2 linked regions of the Kluyveromyces lactis genome follow. The protein of the gene in region 1 purifies or fractionates together with the protein of each later gene. This does not show direct contact. Links are inferred from orthologs where the notes say so. Each region holds a gene or a part of one and is shown on either strand. Other genes may lie near its edges.

Region 1 (11,953 bases):
CTTGCCTACGAAGCATCTTTAAAGCATCGATATGTTCTTGAGGGTTACCACTGACCTGCGATATTAGCTGAGCTAAACCATCACGCATAACAACTACACCAATTTGAGAAATAGGATTTTGATCAAAATACTCATGAATAAAGTCTACAGCATATTGTACTGTCATTGCATATCTATTAGGTCGCAAATCTTTTTCCATCATTGCTTCGCTACAATCCAATACCAAGATAAGGGTTCTGATAATACCTCTTTGATACGGAGTAACCGTCTTCTCTGCTGCCCTTTTTTTTCTTGCTTCAACTATGCTTGCCACAATAGCAGCGATATTGCCTTCATCATCAACTTTGACAAGGTCCCAACTTCTTTGAATGTCATCTTCCCAGGCATAACCACCATTGACACCTTGTAAGTTCTTGTTGGACAGCTTCTTCTTCTTTTTCTTCTTCATTTTTCTTGGATCACGACTTCTCTTTGATAGTTGTGAATGAACTCGTTCATCCTCTTCATCATCACTAGAATTCCCATTGCCTGCACCATCCGAATCTGCAGTTTCTTTTGTTCTAACATGCTTCTTCACTTTGTTTTTCAGCACTTTGGTCTGACCATCTTGTCTATGTCTCTTGTTAGTGATTCCAATGATCCGTTCATCGTCTGATTCACTATCTATAATAGGAGGCATTATCGTAATCAAAAACGATTAATAAAATTTGACCAGAGTACAGCCAAATGTAGTCCAATTAAAAAATCGACTAATGCCTGGAGCTCTACGTCTATTCAGCCAAATTGGTGTAGCGTTACTCTTTAACCTTCAAATCTTGCTTCACTTGTTATAAATTCACTAAATTTTCTTACATGATTTTGATCATGTGATCATATGATCAAAAAGTTTCAACACAAAATAGCGAGGGTTGTATGTAAAACCTAATAATCACTGATTTTATTTAACGAACTACACCATTATACTTGAATCTTAAACGCTGAATTCTTGTGGTGGACACTCTTTATCTGAATCCCAGTCCAATGGTTTTTCACTCATGTAGTATTCGATGGTACCACCGTGTTCGAATAGCTCGGAATGTCTAAACCAGTTCTTATCGAGTTCTTTGTCATTGATAACAACTTTCTCAATGAAGTTGTTTCTGACACCAAATTCTGAATATAAGTTATGTGCAAAAATTTCAATATCTGGAACGTTAGGCATGCTTTTAAGTTTCAAATAATTAACTTTCGGACTTGTTAATAAATAAATATCAGTACCAGCCACGGGATAAAAACCTAGAAGGGCAAAGGTTAGCCACGCTTGCATGGCTCCTGCATCAGAATTCCCTGGCAAACCACGCGGTCCCGTCTTAAACTTTGTATTTATGATCCAATCCACTAATGCTGACGTTTTATCTTGTCTGTTAATGTACGCGTAAAGATAAGGTGTCAAAAAACTTGGTTCATTGCCAATATCAACCACGTTCTCATGGCCACAGAACGCATACATATCATCTAAACGTTTTTCAAACATTGCTTTCGAACCAATGTATTCTAATAAAGTCTTCATATCAAAAGGCACCGTCCACCCATATTCCACGGGTTTTCCTTCATATTCATCGTCTCTCCAATAGCAACCAAAGCATGTAAACGGATCATATCTATGTTGAGCAAACGTACCGTCAGAATTCCTAGGTTGTACGAATCCGGTGTAGTCATAGTGTATATTCACACTTTTAGCATTTGGGTTCCAAATGTTACGCCAGTTTTTCGATCTTTCAAGGTATGTCTTTGCTAAATCTTTTTTACCGAGACCTTTGGCAACGATATAAAGGGCAAAATCGTTATACGAATACTCCATAGTTCTGGTGACACTTCTTGAGTAATTTCTTGTTATGTACCCCAATTCAAGCCATTCTTTTAAAGCGCCTCTCCCAAATTTGTTTGTCGAGTCGTTAGCCATAGGGTCCTCAATGTAAGGCGGCTCCACTTCTGCATTGGTATACATAGCTTGGAAGCCCTTCTCCCAATCGATCCCTTGATGAACGTTCTTAATGAAAGCATCCGCCAACATGATATCTGAGTTGCTACCCCCTTGTGTTCTTCCAGATCTGTCACCAGATCTGCCATCCGGCATGAAACCTTCAACCTCCCAGATATCAATTAAAGAACGTACCATTTCTGCACCATGGTCTTGTGATATGATATTAATCAAGGGGTGAAGACATCTGAACGTATCCCAAAGTGTGAACCAATCATCGTAATATGGCTCACCATTATCCCACGGTGCTTCTGCACCTGATTTATTGGTTGGCATCAAATGAGTACCATACAATGAATTGTATAGTTTACTTATGATCAAAGGGTCCTCTTCATTAACGTTCATCTCGAACTTCTTGAACAATTTATCATTCCAAGATTCTAGAGCAGACGCTACAGACCATGTCAAATCAAACTGTGAGTCTTCGGGATAATCGTCTAACAAATTCTGCGCAGCAACTTTGACACCTTCGTTCTTGTTGAAGCTGATTCCAACATGCGATTTCAACACGGTAGTATCCTCATCAAATTCAAATAATACACCAATATCAGATTCACCAGAGTAAGATTGCATTCTTCTGAGGAACGGTAGAGTCCTCCCATTCCTGAACGTAGCAACTTTACGTGCAGGCTTGTCAAACTTCCCAAAGAAGCTAACGGTCCATTCACCGGGATCAGTCCAACCTCCATTTATCGTCACTTTACCTTGATAAGACTTCAAATCTGAAGAGACTTTGATTTGGCCCGATCTAAAATTCTGAGTCCACCACGGACGGCCAAAAGAATGCAAATGCTGAGACACGTTCACCATGATAATTGGTTTCCCGTTGTCTTTCAGTTCGGGGAAAGTATATTCATACAACCCAGACCTATCCTTAGATGAAAATTCTATATCAACACCGTTATCGAGTTCTACTTTATAATAGCCAATGTGCGCAACGTCAGGCGATTTCCTCTTGAAAGAAATTTGCCTCGTTACATCAACTGAACTTGCACTCGAAGCTATCATTGGAAGCTGCGAAACAACCCCATAAGTGGGAGCACCACCGGTACCAGATTCATGCAATAACGAAACTCCAACAACCTCACCATCGGGTTGAAACCCAGAGTACGCGTCGCCCTTTTTCGAATTGATCACATCTACACCCATCTTACACATACCAAAGGGAACAGCAGTCCCGGAGAACATATGCCCACCCAGGGTACCATAGAATACGTCAACCCATTTCAAAAAACTATATTTACTGGTGAACTGGTCTCCGAATCTCGTTTCTGGTAACTGCAATCCATCCCAGTTGTTGTAAAACACCGCGAACTCTTCCTCTGAATTATCTGCTTCATAGTGAAATTGTGGCTTATTGCAAATACCATTTTTATGAAGATATAAAAACTCGTCCTCTAAAATCACAAAACAGAAGCTTATCGGTACCCATATCGCCAAGAACAATGTCAATTTCCACATCGTTCCTACTTGGCAGAAACTACGTTATTCACAGATATCCGTTTCTTGTGTGTCTTAAAATGTGCTCTTTCAAAAAGGACTAAATGCCAAGAAGCTAAGAGACAACAGATCTAGTATGTCCACTAAACCCTTTATGTTTTTTTTATAATCCTGCATTCTGTCGTTAACAATTTAATCTGACGCTTCTCTCGAGCCTCGTCGCGCACGTTTTTCCTTTTCTTTTTCTCTAGTTCTATTTTTATTCTGACACAATCACATTATCAGCTTATCTAAGATAGTAGGACCCTTTGCTAGTCACGTTACCTGCTTTAGCCAGATCAACGTAACCGCATCTTGCATTGAGCTACATACATGCATATTGCATGAAATGAGGTGAAATGAATGGAAAAAAGGTGCCAGATGGGCCAGATGGTCCTTTTCTCTTGCACTTGCCTGTTTCTGTTGGCAAGACTTTTTTTCAATTCTTTCAGTTCTTGTAGTTACCTTTAGTGGTTTAGGAATCGGAATGAATCTTTGGACGGATCGAGAAGTATAAAAGAACCTCATCGGATCGAAGTATGAATCGAATTACCTCCCTGGTAAATTTGAAGATATGTCCCCAATTTAAAAATAATAGAACGAAGTCAACAAGATAGGCAAACCAGAAAAGATGCCAGATAAAGAAGATCTCAGTGAGTCTGTTTATTCCGTAAGCGATGAGGAAGATGTAGCTAGAAAGTTCCTTCTAAGTTCCGCAGCGGCCGAGTTGAAGGACGATAAGAGCATCGAACAGGAAGATATTACAGAGAAGACAACTTTCTTTGGGAACCATGTGTTAGATAAGAAGGTGTTGAGAAAGCTTGACATATTTGTTTTGCCATTTTTATGCTGTACGTACCTATTGATGTTTTTGGACAAGGCATTGTTAAATTATGCCGCATCGATGGGGATCAAGGACAATTTGGTTGGTGATGAGTTTTCTAATTTGGGTACTATTTTCTCTGCATCGTATATCTTTGCAGAACCGTTTGCGGTGTATTTGCTCCAAAGGTTTCCCGTGTCTCGAGTGTTGGGCTCGTTCATCATATGTTGGGGTGTCGTTGTCGTTTGTCATTGTGTTTGTAAGACATATGCAAGTTTGATGATTGTACGTGTTCTATTAGGGTTGTTCGAGTCGTGTAGTGCTGTAGGATGCATTACAGTCAACGGTATGTATTATACGAAATCGGAACAAACGCAAAGAATTGGTTACTGGGCTGCTCAAGCAGGAACCGGTTATATCATTGGTGGTTTAATGTCATTTGGGTTTTTACATTACCACGGAACTGAATTTACCTCGTGGCAAATCATGTTCCTTGTTGTCGGTTTAGTGACCGTGGGATTCGGTATAGTAACCTATTTCTATTTACCAGATAACGTTCCTAAGGCATGGTTCCTTAACGAGAAGGAGAAAGTCCAAGTCATTGAACATATCAGATCAAACCAAACTGGTCTTGAAACAAAGAAAATCAAGATGCACCAAGTGAAAGAATTGTTACTCAAGGATAAATTGACATGGCCAATGTTATTATTGACTGGTTGTTCTCAAATTTCAACTGGATCCATTGGAACCTTTTCAGTGACCATCACAGGTACATTTGGTTTTGATAGCTACCAGACATCCCTTTTGCAACTTCCTATCGGATGCGTTACCATCATGATTATTCTAATCACAACCCAATTGATAGGAAGATTTTCCCAATTCACTTTAATCACGACATCTATGTACATTCCTGCAATCATTGGTTGCATTGTCATGATTTGTTTACCGTTAACAAATAAAATCGGTAACCTATTATCGTTGTACCTATTATACAGTGGTTCATGTACCATTACGAACATTTATATCTGGAATACTTGTAACACTTCTGGGTATACCAAAAGGCTAGCAAGAAACGGGTTAACTATGATTGTCTACAATATCGCATGTATCGTTGCACCACAAATGTTCCGTGCTTACTCATACCCAAGATACATTCCTGCCAAGATCGCATTGCTAGTTACTCAATGTGTTTGTGTTCCATTGCAACTGTACATTGGTTACACTTCTTACACAGAGAACAGAAGAAGAGACAAAGAACAAGCTGAGTCCGAAACTAAACCAGAACAGTATCAATTCTTAGATAAGACAGATATTGAGAACAGGAATTTCAGGTACATTTATTGAACCAAACAAATAATAACAATAATAATACTAATAACTAACATACGTTTTGATCTTAATGCCACATCTTTCCTGTTGAAAGTGTGCTATGTATGCTTAAGCAATTGTCTAATGCTTTTTTAACTGATATAATATGTTTTTGAACCTGTCGCAAATACGGGTAACATTTTTAACAGTTTTCTTTTTCCATCTAGTTGGAAAAGCCGTGAATCTTCAAGGTTAGAGAAAAAGTGTAAAATTGAAGCTCATCGCATGGAACTGATCATTTGATATTGGCTTCAACAGAGGTTCCTATGATTGAGTAGTGCCAACATTAAGAAATTTCTTTTCTAGTAAGTAGCACAGTTTAGTACCTTGCCAGTTTATCTGTGTTTCATAATGGTACACGCAGATGATTTAGATGATGGTCTAGTTTATGAGGTTAACGATGCCCAAGACGATGATGTGGTATCCGATGGTGAACTAGTCGAACTAGATAAGGACAATGATAGTAATACTGCAGATGAAGTTTCAGAGAATAAAAGAGCATTGGATACGGAAGATAATGGAAACACTTTATCCACTGAAGAGTCTGAAAAACCTTTAAGTAAAAGACAAAAGAAACTGGCTAATTCTTCTCTCCATCAAAAAAAACTAGAACGCATGGCGTATGAAAAAGCTCAAAAGGAGAACCTCCCTAAGGCATCAGTTGATAAAATTATTGAGTACTTAGCCACATCAATCCGTGACAAAAACCCTGATTTAAGTGCTTTAGAATTAGATGAGTTGTACTTTAAGAAACAGGACTTCTTATCGACGGAAAAATATGAAAAGGATCGCAGTTTGAATAATTTCCAAGATTTCATTCACACATTTTCAAAGTCACCTAGATCTATAATTCTTTCTCAATCCAACATCCGCGTTGCAGATGTATATAGAAGTGTTAACGGCCATCAAACAGCGGTAAAATTGTTCTCAAAGAATAAACTTAAAGATGATATAACTAAGGTGGAGGAACTGCTTGGATCTAAAAAGGAATCCAAACCAGAGAAGAAAAACAAGAAGTCCAATAAGAAGATGAAGGGTAAAAACTTTTCCTCAGAAACTGTAAAATATTTCATATCAACTCCAACACGTATTCAAAAAATCATAGAGAGCACCGATCTTTTCTTCCAAGGCAAAGAAAAATTAGATATATTCATTGATGCGAGTTACCTTGATCCAAAAAATAACACAATTTTCACATCAGATGATTCCGCTGTTCTCTATAAAGTACTCAAGGAGTTTTTGAAGAATAAATCTTCTGTAAAGATTTTACTGTTTTAAATATATTGATTGAATATATATATATATATGTTTAGTTTAAAGTTCGTGACATGCGTGGCTAGTTTTAATTTTGTTCATTGGAAAGGCTTCCGCATCGACAATTTTCTTGCGAGCATCGATGGCTTTCTTGCTAGTTTTGTCGCTGAAAGAGATATGCTGGATTTTCTTTTGTCTTTCAGTTGGTTTACTGTTTCAGCTGGTCTATCGAAATCTGTCATTTTCTTAATTGGAGAACTGGATCTCCGAGTAGTATCAGAACCGTGGAAACTTCCAGTAGAATTGTTACTGATAGAGTCATTAATTATAGACAAGGATGATTTTTCATGATTAAGTGCTGGACTTTCCGGCAACTTCTTAGGGCTTACACCCCGGAAAACTTGGGAAACAGGCTTCAAATATACCGATAAAATGCTACCAATGTTTAACTCCAACTCTTCTCTAACAATTGGATCCAATTTTGTGTTGATTTCAATGACAGGAAGTTCACCATCTATCATGTCCCGTACCACATCGTTGTTAAATAGTGGCTCAGAAGAGTTTCCTGCCAATGACAATAATCTCCAATACATATATGCATTATCTCTAAGATCGGGATTATCGTTAATTTCTGTGGCTCCTGACAATAATTTAAGACACAACTGTTCAGTTTCTTTTGATTGCGCTCTGCAGAAAAATTTCACTGCCGAGTTGAGAAGCAATAATTGAACTTCTAGACCTTCAGTATTGAAGTTATCAGAATATTTGCGGAATACACCTATTGGGTCTTCCAATTGATTTGAATGGTTGGTGACGATCCATATCATTGCACATTTCGATTCAGAATCTTGGATGGAATCAGAATATTGCGGTAAAAGTGGAACTACGAAGTCAAACTGATTAGGGTATTTCCTTAGAACATTTTTGAGCATGGAAACGACTTCCTGCACAATGTAATCGACGCCAAATTCTAGAAGTTCGAGCAAGACGTCAACACTATATCTTGCTGAATGTGGATACTTAACTGCCAAATTACCAATTGCTCTGATTGACTTTTTGGACATTTGGATATCGATATCTGTTGCTTGACCCTTTAATTCGTCAAGAATTTGAGAAGTGTTTTCTTCATTCGCTAAGAGATATAAAATCTCTAATTTTGTATCTTTGATATAAGTCGGGTCAGAATATTCAATGAAGAAGTTATTAGGTTCAAGGTGTATCAGTGGAGAGTCACGCGATAGTAAAAGTAAGATTACATTTCTCAATACCAGAAATTGAATTTCAGGAGGCTTATTCAATAAAGAAGTCAAGGAGCTTGAGAACTTTCTCACAAGCCTCTCTTCAATGTAATCAACGTAATTTGTTAGATAGATAATAAATTTTAGAGCATTGAGCACGACAGATGAATTCAAATTATGCAATTTCGGTACAGAAAGATCGATAAGATGGTGAGCTTCAGAATGCGTTTTTGGTAAGTATGCAGTAGTAAGTATATCGAATAGAATCGCAATATCCCATTCATTGATTTTTCCTAATACCTCTAAGAGATTGAAGCATATGTTCTGCGTTAGTTGGAGTGGGTTCATATCAGGATTGCTAACATGAATTTCATGAAGTACTGTGACAGCGGCAACCAATATTGTGGGTTCTTCTTTACCGTAGTCCAACATATCCATGAGAAAATAATATAGTTCTAAAACTTTCGTATGATCTAATTGATCCATTTTGATCAGAGAATGGATAGCTGCCTTCCTTAGTGGAATAGATATTTTTGAAGTTGTCATGATTAGCTTCTTCACATGCTGGAAGCCTTCTTGAATATACTCCGGTTCATCTATCGACGTTATTGTGCGCAATGATAAAATGCACAGCTCTTCAGAATTGGATAGAAGGTCTTGTAGGATAATTGGGAGAGCCATTCTTAACTGATCAGGCTTTGATGGAGTCAAAGTGCAAAAATATTGATGACACATTCGTTTTATCTCTAAATCATTTTCACTATTCCATATTTGTAGAACGTCAACGAATAATTGTGCCATTTCATGATAATTTCCCATGATCAAATTCGCTATAATCTTTCGAAGACATAGTTTCCTCTTCGAACTACCTCTGGCCTTACCAGAATCCGAAACCAACTCCCCTCTTATTTCATGTGCCTTATACTTGTAGAATATTTTGCTTTCCGACATAATTAATATCGTACTGACTGAAATGATATTAGAGTTTATATTTATAGTATCAACACAGCTCAATCCAGTTCGTGCAATATGGTTGTTTATGTAACAGTTGTCTCTTGAGGGAAATATAAGATAGTTTCATTATAAACCGTACTTTAATTTAGTGTTTGTTACTTTTGACATGTTCTTGAAATCAAACAAAAAGTCAGAGATTGGTGTTATTATTACCCGGACAAAGAATTTGTTCTAAATCCAAGGCTGGTTAATATGACATGGCTGCTTCAGTACCGTCCGAAACAGTTTGCTACCTCAATAATGTCATATTTACTAAGATATATGCTCAATACTAATATAGTTTCTTGTTAATGTTACATAGCATGATTTCTGGTCATAATTATTATACTTTTCCAAAACCTAAAAGATGTTGAATTAGTGATGCTATCGGTAGATTGTGGACTGTAATAGGTGGGAAGAATGTTGAAATATTCTTGCCGGAGAAAGACATCTGATGACCATTATAGTAAAACGCTAATGTATGATTGTTACAACTTGAGAAAACTCAAAGTAATTCAATTATTCCATGGTTTCATTCACGGACAACAGTCATTCGATTTTGTATATTTAGAATCATCGCATTCAAGTGTCGTTGAGACAGAAGAAACTCTCGGTACAGATCTAGTAGAAGTTGCTTGTGATTTTCTTGCCGTTACAATTTGAGGTCTCAAAAGTACATCATCAGTCATCCTTCTTTGTCCTTCAGTCCAGCCATCAAAATCGATTAATGCTTGCATACATCCCCATTCAGTTATTTTTTTGCTTAACCAGTCCAAATTGACTGGTTTGGTCAAATAATCATTACAGCCAGCTAATAGGGCCTCTGTTCTATCAATTTGTGAGTAAGATGCGGTAAGTGCAACGATTATAACAGGTGACCTAAACTTCGATTTGTCCAACACCATATTCTGCTGATTCGATTTCTCGACTTCATTTTGCTGATCACTTGTCTTTGCAGCAGTTGTACCTCCTTCTTCCTTAGAATTAGCATTTTTTTTCAGATTGGGCTTCTTAGAAACACTCTTTTGAGAGAAATTCCCAATATTGTTAATTCGTTCCAGTTCTCTTATTTTTTTTGTTGCTTCGAGCCCTGATAGCAGGGGCAATTGCAAATCCATAAGGATAAGATGACTATCGCCTTCTTTCCACTTTTCTATTGCTTCCACTCCGTCTTTGGCAACTTTGTAAGAAATTCCGTTCTTTCTTAAAAATAATGCTAGAATGGCTTGGTTTATAGCGTTATCTTCTACAATAAGCACGTTGATACGAGGAAACACTTTATATTTTGGAAGGTTGCCTTGCTTATCTAATGAGGGTGTGGTCCTTCTGGATAGTGGACGAGGTAATTCTGGAGACGATATTGTCTTTGTTAATGATATACCCACTTCCTCTTCTGTTAATGGTTTCTGGGCTGTCAACGCGTAACTCTCTGGATGTGGCGGTGAAGTTTCAATATTATCCAAGGAAATATTCGCTTCCTCATACGGAGAATCATTGCTACCTTCAATATCCTCAGGGGATACACCTTTTGGTAATAGTAGTATTCCAGTGTTATTACGCGAGCTTGAGAAACTTCCAAAAAGACTTGGCCGTCTTTGATCGGGTCTTTCAACAACAGAATCGATTTCAGTTCCCTGGCTAATATCTGAGAGTAGGATCTCTTTTTCCTGTCCTATAGCGTCCTTGGTGAATATACGTATTGGATCTAAAAGTTCAGCAGGAGTCAATACTTCAGGAGAGGTAGGAGAACTTGAAGACATCGGAGGATAAAACACTGTTAAAGCATCTTCACTTTTCTGTAAACCCCCATATAACTCCCTGTATACCGTCATAACGGGCGTATCCGGTTCTATGATGACTTTGTACGCATATTTCAGGTTATCATCAGGGGATTGAGATTGCTGTCGTGTATGCTGAGAAGATAACATCCTAAGACCATTGTCATCATTGAATGCGGTATCCAAAGAAGGACTTTGAGATGTGGACCTGTGTAACAACCTATTAAATGAGTTATGCAGTTGGGACCATCGTCCAACACGAATCTGATTCCTTTTTATCAGATTTTGATACTCAGAGTATGTTATTACGAATGTATTGGAATTTGCTTTCTCTGGTCCAACTGAATGAGAGTGCGATGGCTCTAGTAGTTCCGCACTGTAATAATAAAACCCAAGACTTATATTCGTGTTATCTTTGAATCTGAACCATCTCGTATTACTCAACTTGTTCAATACCTTACTTTTCACATCATCTATCATATCTCTCACTTCAATGTCGACACTAGTTGGTTGATTGTATAAAGTATCCTCAATAGGATTCTCGCCGCGAAAGCTATCGCATGGTGTGTCTAATTGTAACCAAATTCGCCGGGTACTTCCTGAGGTAACAGTCCGCTGCCCACTCAACGGTGAAGACGGCCGTATCCTGTTCATCGGTTCTTGCATCAATGTGCGTTATTAGCCTTGTTCGTGACGTCTTCCGAGCTTGTTTTTCTGCAATTATTCCAACAGGGCTTTTCTTTGAATTGTTGTTAGCAAGATCCGTTATGTTTCTATTTCTGGTTCCCTAGCAAAGCCAGGTAAGTATTGGTAGTATTATGACACAAGTGCGCACCGGATATATCAAATAATGAAACTCTTGCTGAAGTTGAAAAAATACGGTTTGTTATAGTGGGGCTAGTGTTTTGTCCTTCTAAATACTCATTTCATGTGTGTTAAATCGTCACTATATCGACATTTCTTTCAATAATTTAGGATCAAGATTGCTCTGTCCGACATC
Region 2 (11,600 bases), on another chromosome or scaffold:
GATAATTATCTGAACTATAATGGCTCCTTTGATACAAAGAAGAGAACCTCGTATGCTGTTCCAACGATCACAGTGAACGGTACCGCATATGAAAAGGTGGAACTACTCGGCAAAGGTGGATCGGGTAAAGTTTACAAAGTGAAATCTTCTGATCACAAGGTATACGCGTTGAAACGCGTGTCTTTCGATGAATTTGATGAGTCCAGTATTGATGGCTTCAAAGGGGAAATAGAGCTTCTAAAGAAACTAGAAAACAAGCAGCGAGTTGTTAAGTTAATTGACTATCATATGGGACAAGGTGTCTTATTTCTCCTAATGGAATGTGGTGAACATGATCTATCCCAAGTATTGACTCAGAGATCCAAAATACCATTTGATACGGAATTTGTCAGATATCACTTTCAAGAAATGATAAAATGTGTGAAGGTGGTTCACGATGCTGATATTGTCCATTCTGATTTGAAACCCGCAAATTTTGTTTTCGTCAAGGGAATGTTAAAGATAATTGATTTTGGGATTGCGAATGCGGTTCCCGATCACACTGTAAATATTTATCGAGACAACCAGATCGGAACTCCCAATTATATGGCTCCCGAGACTTTGGTTGCAATGAACTTCACAAGGAATGATGGTGAACAAGCCAAATGGAAAGTGGGTAAACCATCAGATGTTTGGTCCTGTGGATGTATCCTCTACCAAATGGTGTACGGAAAACCGCCTTATGGTACGTTCCAGGGAAACAATAGGTTATATGCGATCATGAATCCTGATGTTAAGATTCCTTATCCTGAAAAAGACTCTTTCGGTACAGTGATACCAAGAACTGTTATTGACACTATAAGATCATGTTTGGAAAGAAATCCCATATCTCGTGTTACAATTGACCAGCTATTAAGTGGTGCATTAATTAATCCTGTCACCGTAACAAAATTCTTCATACATGATTTGATAAAAAATGCAGTAAACTATGGTTGCGATCAAAAACATGTCAATAATGAGCGTGTGGAAGAATTATCTGAAGATGTTTGGAACAAACTAGCTGAATTTAAATTATAGATTAATCTATTGCACTGAGGGCAGTACTGGGATAAAGCACTTCTGACATGCCGTCTTTATGGCTTTTTTTCCTGCATTGAATAAAGAAGCAACATATGAATGCTGTGCTCCCATAAGAAGCCAGCAAATGAACCTATGGGTGCATTAATAAGTTTACCTACGTAATACAAATGTACTATTATATAAGAGTTTTAATCATTCATTTATCTTGGTCCAAACTTTGACATTGCAGCAGGACCTATTTCATGCCATTCTTGCTTCGATAACCACATGTGGTCTTTATCGGCCATAATGTTCGCTAAGACGGCACCACCAATGAACACCATATGCTTTCTTCTTGGTGGGTCCTCAATTCTGACCTTGAATTTATCCAAACGTGTGGGATCATTGCGTAGAACCCTTGTAAACCATAGTTGTTTTAGTTCTTTTTCCAACCTTGAAGGTAAACCTGGGTACATGGATGAACCACCAGACAAGACGATAGCTTTATAAAGTGATGTTCTGATATCCACATCTGCTGCTTGTATTGTGTTGAATAAAAGTTCACCCACACCTGGTTGTTCGACATCAACTAAACTTGGTTGGAATAAACACTCTGGTGCCTCGAATCTTTCCGGTCCAACCTTGATGACTCTCCCATCGGGTAATTCATAAGATTCCACTAGAGTAGTCGTCTCTCTTGCTAATTTTGTGTCCAAGTCTAGATCATAAGATACATAACAAAGCTTTTCTTTAATTTGACGAACAGTTTCGAAATCGGCAGTTCTGTTGAATGCATAACCGCGGCGAGACAAAAGGTCAATTAAGTGTCTGGTTACATCTCTCCCAGCAACGTCTAACCTTCTTGTCAAATGATTCAAAACAACGGATTCATAAACAGGAACAATGTGAGTAACACCATCACCGGAATCAACAACGACACCCGACGACAAACCTTGAGCATATAGAGCTAGAACGGCTTGAATTGCAACGTATGTGCCACCAAAATCATACTTCTCGAACATAACTTCACACATTTGTTCTCTGTTTTTAATGGGGTTCATTGGTGGTTCGGTAAGTAGTACCTTACCGCCGGATGTAGTTGGCAATTTCATCTGCTCAAAGAAAGCATAATCCCATAGTAATTCCATATCTGCCCAGTTTCTGATGATACCATTTTCCATTGGGTACGAAATCTGTAAATATGAACGAACTTCACTTGCTTCATCACCAATCATGATATCTTTCAATGGGGTAGAAGCATGACCTCTTTCTTCAGCTCTAAGAATCGGTCTACCTACGATGGATGGGAAGGTGTAATCTGGGAAGTTCTCACCAGCACGGCCAATTTTCACGAAACCAGTACCCTGATCAAGAACAATTGGAGTATGTGGGTCCATTTTCGCTTTATTAATGGGTTGAAGATGCTCACAAATGTCCGTTTGATTTAATTACCCCAGTTCCACTATTAAATCTGATGAAATAAACCTTTATTTCCTCTCTTTCTTTAAGAACATCTCCTATTTCCCAATGTTGTTGATGTCGTTTTTCACGTAAATCATGTGATCATGTTTGTCCATATAGAATTTATCCAGGAGGTATAAAGCTATTGGCACGTCACAAGATAGCCGCTAAATCGTTGGATTTACATGTAAAGCATGTTTTCATATGGTTCAAATGAATCTTATAGTTTGCTTGGATATGTGTTATATGATCTTTTTTATTTCATTGATGAATATGTATAAATTGTGACGGTTTGTGTCAACTTAAATAGATTTTGTGAAGTGATGATTCTTAATAATGTCATGTCAGTACCTAGGTGAGGGCGTTAGTTCTTTTAATCACTTTCGTACGTGTATTCTTTACTGCCGTCCTTTTTTCGTTTTACACTATATTGTGCATTTGCTCCAGTTTCTCCGACGTCTGTAATGAAGCAACATTTCGAAAATGGGCTGAGAGCACGTACATAGATGACCATCGGGGATAACTTAGAATCATCAATGTAGTCACCAGTGAACATCAACAATTCGTCCCCTGGGTTTGCCTTTGTAACGATGTAAACCAATGCAACTGGTTTACGGACTCCCTCAGAACCCATGTTCAATAGCATAAATGAAAAAGCTTGGATGTTTTCGTTATTTCTGACGCTGGAAACAAAAGAGTACGAGTTTGTTACTAACTCCATGTGTCCTGGAACATAAGCTGTATCACTTCCTAAAACTATGGATTTGATGTTGTGTTCGTTTTTATAGAAACTCTCATCTAATCTCGATTTCACAAAGGAAAGAAATCTGTCTGCGTTGGGAAATTCTCCCGATTGAAACTTATCTGTAAATGCTTGAGAGAGCTTGAAGGGGAATCCGCTGAAGTCCTTTAGCTGGGTAAATGACTTGAATTTTGGGACCATTTGCTTCATTATCAATTCTCTCCTTGTGGTGGATGAAAGCTTCATCTTAGTTTGATTGAAAGCATGATCCAAAAGCTGCATAAGTTTCCTGGTTCTAAAAGCTTTGAATTGATACCACCCTATTCCAAATATCACCATCGGGAAAAGCAAAGCAAGTAAGAAAGGCAAAACAAATACTATCATTGTTATGAATCCAGCGAACAGTAACGTGGAAAGAATAAAGGAAAAAGGGCTGATTGAAAAGATAAATCTGGGATTGTTAAAGGGACTTTTTCTGAAAGGATCCCGTCCACCAAGTACCATGTTTCTCGGCGTAGAATGGAAATTTCGAAGCGCCATCTTCACAGGAGAGACCAAAATATTCTGGTTATAATGTAAAAGATTCATCCGGGGATTCAAAGCTGCCAGGAGTGGGAACCGTGGCACCAAATTCACAAACTGACCCGTCTTGACACATCCATGACTAGCAGGACTGTATGCTTTTAACTTTGTCAAGGATTGAAATGGTCGCAGCCCAATCTGTGATTTAACGCACAATTGAAATCGATTTAGGGGAAGCATCTCACAGAAGAATATCACAATGTCTGATGTGCGGAATTGTATTTTCTCAGATTTATACCAATAAGCGATTACTTCTGGTAATGCAAAATGTCTTCATAGTCTTGAAATCTATGAAGCTTCTTAATTTACAAAGGAATTTTATAGGAATTTCAAAGGCCAAATTGTCTATATCATCGCAAACCCCATACTAAGATCGCAGGATGACTTATAATCTGCTTTCTGTTCCTTTAAACTTTTGGAATATTATTACTACATTGTTTAAATAGGAAAAACATGAATAATATATACATATCCGGGTAAACTTTTGTAAACCAATTCGTTGCACATTAATATGAAGACACCATTATAGGGACAAGTCATCCCACTCAGTGGACTAATATCTTATCTCGTATGCTCCTGAATGTGAGATATATTTAATCCATTTCACCGGTTGATAATTCAATTGTGGTTCTTGACATTTCAAGTGTCTCACCACAAGTCCGGAATTACTAAACATTACAATTTCGAAGCCCATTGATATTGGCGGTCTTGACCATCTTAACAAATCAGATAGATCGTGGGAAGTAGCAGGGATTGCCACCTTACCGCTCAGAGTATTTTCTGTAGATCCTTTGTATTTGTTGTATTTCCATACCATGCATTTTTCTCCGGCATCGTACTTACATTTTCCTCCAGAGACGTTAAAATCGCATTTAATCGTGGTTGGGGGCACAGGTATTTTAACTGTTACATCTTTGGCAGAGACATTGGATGGGAAAAGTGATCTTAACGTTACCTTGTAATTGAGTGTAGAGTTCTTCACGATTTCTACCTCCGGTATGACGTTGAATGGGATATTAATGTTATCAATGACACGGTATTGCATCAATTGGAATGGCCCGTCAGGAGGAACGAATTGAATAACGTGGTTGGCCTCGTACTTATTAAGTTGGACACATTGATGGAATTTACAATCTTCTAATATTACAGAGCCTGCAGCCGCATTCGGTATAGCTTTCTTATTCTTAATATCGTACTCGGACATCATTTCAACAATGGACAATTCTGACTTTTCGTTTCCATGAATCGAATATGTGTCATTCAACCCTAGTTGGCATAGAGGCATACCTGATAGATGTGATACACAATCCACGGATCCATCAACAAATGATTTCACAATTGACCCATCTTTACCTACCAATATTGTGATCTTTTCGTTGATATCCAAATATACCTCATTCTTCTTGTATTTCAACCCACTTGGCCTCCAAGGGCATTCAGATAATGAAGACAAGGCAATTGAACTTGAGGACCGCTTTGAAAGCTTTGGAGCCTTTAGAATGTTAGATCCGGATAAGAAATCATCCAAATCGGGAGATTTGCTAATTGTGTTATTCTCTATTGGTTTTCGTGATACTCTTGGTATTATTTGAGCTAAGTCCGTTGTTTGTGGGATGCCGTTCTCCAACGTCAGTTCTAAAATCTCATACAATAACATAAATTCATCCTTTAACACGTCTTCATCGTTAATTCCGAATGCTTCCATTAATTGGTACAACTTGTGTAGGTATTCCCAGATCATTGAACTATCCACATTCGATCTGGATACTGCTACAAGCCACATAGGCAAGTTGTCGCTACTTTCTCTGATAACATGTTGAAATGTCGTTGAGCCCAATGTCAATATAGGAGACCTCACATGTGGATCATTGATGACTTGGGTTCTAAACACATCTGCCAGTGATCTTTTAACATGGTCTTTGATCAATTTACTGATCAACAAATCACCCTTTGCATTGTATATAAATATAGCACTAAGCATGCTGCGTGTTGGTCAACGATAATTTTTATACTGTAGGTTACGAACACCACCGTTTCAGTTTTGCACTGCCCTGTGTACCTCAAGTGCCTGAAGTTACAGTTTAAGGAACCTTTACTGAAATATACGCTACATAGTTCAAAATTATTGTTGTGCTATTTATCAAACCTTTGCAAAATAAAGCAAAAGCTGAGAAAAAGAACAAGAACGTTGACGAGATGTTATTATTATATAGGCAACTCACTGATGGATTGGTTTGTGCAATGATAGATTATTGGAACAGAAATTGTATCTTATTCATTCCCTTGCTTTTGCCCCAACTCATTGTGTCTAAGCTGTATATATTTACTATTGGAAAGCATATAATGTCAAGGGAATTATAACAGATCTGAACAAAAAGGTCTTACGCAATACCTAAGAGTAGGCCATTATGAATAAACATGATATATCCATGGCACTACTGACAATGCGGCTCTTCTGGATGAAACACGGGCCTTTTCAGGTAATTCTTCTTTTTTGAAGATTCTCTGCAATGTGCTTTACTATCAGTAGGTCCGAAAATTTTTATAACAATTTGACAGAGATAACGAGATCGATCGGTACAATGATCATACAGATACGATCATAAGAGGTGAATTGAACGCTGAACCTGTATTGTACTTCATCCAGAAAACTACTGTTTAATAAAGCCCTGTAAGTCTTGTCGAAAGAAATGAATAACATCGTCGTTTTTGCTGGTAGTTCCCATCTCGATTTAGTGAATAAGATTTGTGAGAATCTAGGTATTGAAAGGTCGCAAGTGAAGCTAGGTAAGTTTTCAAATGGTGAGACCTCCATTAGTATCGAAGAATCTGTTAGAGAGAAAGATGTTTATGTGATTCAAAGTGGATGTGGCCATGTTAATGATAACTTTATGGAGCTATTGATTCTCATCAATGCCTGTAAAACAGCTGATGCATCCAGAGTCACTGCTGTGATGCCATACTTCTCGTATTCAAGACAGCCTGATATCCCATACACAGCTAAGGGTGCTCCATTAATATCAAAGCCTAAGGAAAAATATACTTTTGAGTCACATCCAGGAACCCCTATCCCTCAATCCATGCTAACAGTAGAGAAGCCCATGTCCCCAAATTCAAGTAGGCTAGATGCCGCAAGCTCAGCTTCTTCATCAGGTCCTCAGTCTCTACAAAGTCCCACTCCTTTGCGTCCAGTAGAGTTGAGACCCACCTCATCTACTTCTTCGCGTATCCCCATGATTCCAAACGGGAAGGCTGAACATCCATCTGAGCAGGAGCAAGATTCAAATGCAGACGCCCTCTTTAACGCAAGCAATTCTAGTTATAAGCTATGGGTAGCCCAAGCAGGTACTTTGATCGCTAATTTGCTAACTACGTCCGGAGCAGATCATGTCATCACTATGGATTTACATGATTCTCAATTCCAAGGATTCTTTGACATTCCTGTTGATAACCTATACTGTAAACCTATCACTCAGGCTTATATTCAACATCATATTCCTAACTATCAGGATTGTGTCGTTGTTTCTCCAGATGCTGGGGGTGCTAAGCGTGCTGCAAAAATCGCCGATGTCTTAGAACTTTCTTTTGCTATGATTCACAAGGAAAGAAGGTCACAGCTTTTGAAAGGTCCACCTGGCGCCACCTTAACATCAGGTGGTGGCGTTCCAGTATCGACCAAACCTTTAATTGAGTCACTGGATATTAGGACAAGTCTCTCCAATAATGGAAACAATAAATACGTGAACACTACTATGTTGGTCGGTGATGTCAGAAACAAAGAATGTATTATTGTTGACGATTTGGTTGACACCTCATACACCATTACTAGAGCAGCAAAACTCTTGAAGGACCAAGGAGCCACTAAAATATATGCTTTGATTACACATGGTATTTTCTCAGGAGATGCTCTAAACCGAATTGGACAGAGTGTTATTGATAAGATAATTGTCACAAACTCTATTCCACAGGACGAAACAATTAAGGTACTAGGTGCTGATAGAGTTGAGGTTCTAGATGTCTCTAATATTTTCGCCGAAGCCATCAGAAGAATTCATAACGGAGAATCGATAAGTATTCTTTTTGAACATGGATGGTAGTAATCGTACCGAATTTGTGATTCTGCTTTTAAGGTTGTTTTATGTAATAAAAATATAAATGTATATACACACACAAATGTATCAATTTCAAGTTGGTCTCACTCTATTGTTCTATTGGGCCGTGCAATGGTGTAATGTCAATAGCTTGTAAAATTCATTCTTACATTGGAAGAGTTTCTTTGGATGATGATGGTTTCCCCAGATTTCTTGGTCTTCATGCATTAGGCCGAATTTGAAAAGAATATGCACGACAAATGCTACATTGCCCTTTATTTGGGAAATAAGTTCTAAAGTCTCCAAGCTATTGCGAGAGTGCATGATGTTGTACCAAATGCTTGGGTATGATTATGAATGAATGTTAAGATTGTTTATGGTTATGATATGGTTCATGATGCTGAGATATAGGTGCAAAGTTTTATCACTCTTGTGTCGTATTGTGATTTAATTCTGCTGCTCTCCGTTCGTTAGCCTCCTTTTCTCTCTTCTCAGTAAGCTCTTTTAATTCGTCTTCCGTAATTAAATGATGCTTGTGGTTAGTTGGTGGATTGATCAATTTTCCATCGTTGTCAACTTCGCAACAATGTATATTTTGGAACCACGGGTCCGCTAAAACTTCCGGCATTAAGATTCTCTTGTGAGGACTTAGTTCTAGCATTCTACCAATCAATGGTCTTGAATGACGTGGAAGTAACTTCAAAATCTTGTATGGACCCTTAGTGTGATCGTTCTCATCATCTGGATTTTGAGCAAACAATTTGAATGACACGACCTCTTCGCTTGGTTTTTTCCATGGAAATCTTCTTAATGTCATGCAATAGAACATTACTGCAATGGACCAAACATCTACGGGTCTCGGATCATAGTATTGACTTACCAAAAGCTCTGGAGCTAAGTATGGGTCGCTACCAACAATGCCTTTCGCTTTCACTATTTTATCCTCGTATTTGTAATGGAAAATGGTAGCGCTACCAAAGTCAATCAACTTCAAGATACCTTGAGCATTAACAACACAGTTGTCTAACTTCAAATCTCTATGAGCCAATCCTTGAGAATGTAGATATGCAACTCCATTACAGATTTGTTTGAAATAGCATGCGATTTCATGCTTTCCCATTAGATCACTCATAACCAATGTGAAGAAATCATACTGACAATATTCCATTACTACCAAAAAATGCTCTCCCTCTTGTAGCATATCCAAGGTTTCGATAACGTTCTGATGATGCAAAAACGATCCTACACAAAATTCAGACGTAACTTTTTTAGAATAATCCAACAAGGTCTCTCTAGCAGCTCTTGGTCTGAATTTTTTCACTGCAAACAAAGTGTTATCCGAACCTTTTACAACACTTACAGATCCAGAAACACCTTCGCCGAGAAGTTTCCCCGGAATACCATACTTCTGTATCAATTCATGGGCGTCTTCTGCGTCGTATAAAGTCAATTTTGTAGTTTTACGGTCTGTAACGACTGCGGTTGCTGTCGGTTGTTTTTGTTCTACATGTTTTTGCTCTCCGGATTGTTCGTGGAGCTTAAAGAACCGTTTCAAACGGAGTGATTTCTTGTGATGGGGTTTTGGATGGGAATTATCGGCCGATGATAATTTAGGGGGTGGTTGCAGCTTAAATTGTTCGATTTGTCTCTGAAGATACTCTGCAGGATGCTGGTTCGGCTGAGGTGAGGTATCCAATGTTACAGTTGAATGCTGTACCTTTAATGATGGTTTGTTATGTTCATGTGACGTATGATTGTGCAATAATGGATGTGATTGTGTATTTGAAAGGCCTGATACAGAGTTGGAATGTGAATTCTGTGTAACCGGTGAGCTTGATACTGAATTGGAATTTGAAAAGCTTCTTTGCTTGTTATCCTTCGGATGAGGTGTTCGCGTCTGCGAACTGCCATTAGCCTGATAATTGTTCGGATTATGCAAGTGATTTGTATGCTTTAAAGTCTGAAGTCCTGGTGGAAGATCGCCGGAAATTTGTGGAGAAACCCGGGTATCAGTATTGTGGCTGCCTTCACTGCCACTATCATTTCCGTTGCTTCCGTTACCGTTAGCATTGCGGAAGAATCGTCCAAGTGCTAGCCTTGATTTATTCTTGATGGAGCTCTTGGAAAAGAACGTACCTGCAGAACTTGCAGATTTTACGGATTGAATCTCGTGACTGGACTCCGCACTCAACTGATTGTCAGGCATCCTCGTTACACACTACGTCCCCTTGGTAGACTCGGTCTCTATCAGTGCATTACTGTGACTAATTCTGCTAATGTGTATTAATAACTTGGCTCGATTTAACTTTAATTGTCTTTATATTGTTTATTTATTAGAAAATCCTTATTTAACCATTTTGAACGAAATTGTCATACCGTGGAAGAAAGAGAGTGGAAATGGAATTAAGACGGAAACACAAAATATACGAGAGAATGAGCACAAGAAAGCATGTGCGATGATGGAACGGATCTATGCAACGATACAGCTGAAGAATATGAGTGCTAATCGGATGTAATTAGTATAGCTTTGAGCTTAAAACTGAAAGATATGCATATCATAGTCTATCTAATGTTTGTCGAAAGACTATATGTGAACTTTTAGCAACTCCGAAGTTAACTTATCGAAATGTCTTCATGCTTGTGAGTGCGCATTTATAGATGTATGTAGGTGTTGTGATGAGGAAAGTTGTGAATAAATTAATCTTTGGATCTGGATTCGAGGTTGAAGCTTTCTTGAGATTTTGACAGCTGTTTAGCGTTTGAATCTTGGTCATTTTGTGAAGATTTGCTTGACCAAAGACTGAATCTGGATCCACGTCTTGACGAAGGGGATCGCGGATGAGCGTGAGTGTTCGTAGTATTCGAGTCTATACTTGATGATTCATTGTGTTCTTCTGCAATGTTCTCTGTTTCGTTGATGGTTACCTTTTTGGAGTCATCCCAATCCGACGCAGGTTCTATGATTGTCTTAGAAACACCTTTGACTGTAATTATCGATTCGACGATCCCGTTTCTAGTGGACTTATAACTTGAAGAAATCACGGTTTGATGGTCTTTGTCGTTTTGAGCTGGAATAGTCGTTATCAGCTTGTCATTGGATTTGTTCGAGGTCGGACGTGGTTGTTGTTGTTGCACCATAGCGCTATTGCTTCGTCTGCTTGAATTAGATCTATGACGATGGTTATGATGGGATACATACTTCCTTTTTTCATCGGTTGTAGGAGCGCTTCCCACGGGTGAAATGGCGTCAGGTTCACGTCTTATAGGGGAGGTTGTTTCAATCACACTTGTTGCAGGAGAAATTGGCTCAGAAGAAAGCCGTGGAGGAGTCCTGGACATCCCGCCATAACTTTGCCTTTTTATGGTCACGAAAGGTTTCTTTATATCTAAAGGGTTCGCGGCTGGGTTTGCGGGCTGAAAATTCGTTGCGCCTACTGACAGGTAGTTTGTGGTTTCATTTTTGCCGGACGCCTCACTGCTTTCCGCATTTTCATTCACAAGCGGTTGAGTTTCTGATGGTTTTCTAGTGTACAATGAATGCAAATAGGAAGTGATGTGCCTCTTTGATAGTGGTCCTGGTTGATCTCTCATGATCCGTTGATGGATATCGACGAAAACGTCAGATTCATCCACGATTTCTTCACCAATCAATTCTTCAATGACATCTTCCAAAGTGACAAGTCCAA

What was found.
Region 2: the proteins of APL1 (region 1) and APM4 purify together in Saccharomyces cerevisiae (affinity purification with mass spectrometry; 4 studies listed by BioGRID, with this or other methods). This does not show direct contact. The link is inferred for Kluyveromyces lactis from reciprocal best matches to the Saccharomyces cerevisiae genes APL1 and APM4.

Annotation. Positions count from the first base shown.
Region 1 is NC_006041.1:840,313-852,265, reverse strand, and holds APL1 (Apl1p), read right to left. Parts: upstream 9,134-11,953; coding exon 7,043-9,133; downstream 1-7,042. Other genes in the region: TFIIH/NER complex subunit SSL1, read right to left, coding at 1-679; KLLA0_E09593g (uncharacterized protein), read right to left, coding at 971-3,481; THI73 (Thi73p), read left to right, coding at 4,131-5,666; CMS1 (Cms1p), read left to right, coding at 6,042-6,968; mitogen-activated protein kinase kinase kinase SSK1, read right to left, coding at 9,712-11,619. UniProt on the Saccharomyces cerevisiae protein: Adaptins are components of the adaptor complexes which link clathrin to receptors in coated vesicles. Clathrin-associated protein complexes are believed to interact with the cytoplasmic tails of membrane proteins, leading to their selection and concentration.
Region 2 is NC_006039.1:350,513-362,112, forward strand, and holds APM4 (Apm4p), read right to left. Parts: upstream 5,805-11,600; coding exon 4,377-5,804; downstream 1-4,376. Other genes in the region: serine/threonine/tyrosine protein kinase MPS1, read left to right, coding at 1-1,056; ARP2 (actin-related protein 2), read right to left, coding at 1,260-2,435; MRX9 (Mrx9p), read right to left, coding at 2,873-4,003; ribose phosphate diphosphokinase subunit PRS5, read left to right, coding at 6,514-7,920; putative serine/threonine protein kinase RTK1, read right to left, coding at 8,339-10,120; MAM3 (Mam3p), read right to left, coding at 10,612-11,600. UniProt on the Saccharomyces cerevisiae protein: Component of the adaptor complexes which link clathrin to receptors in coated vesicles. Clathrin-associated protein complexes are believed to interact with the cytoplasmic tails of membrane proteins, leading to their selection and concentration.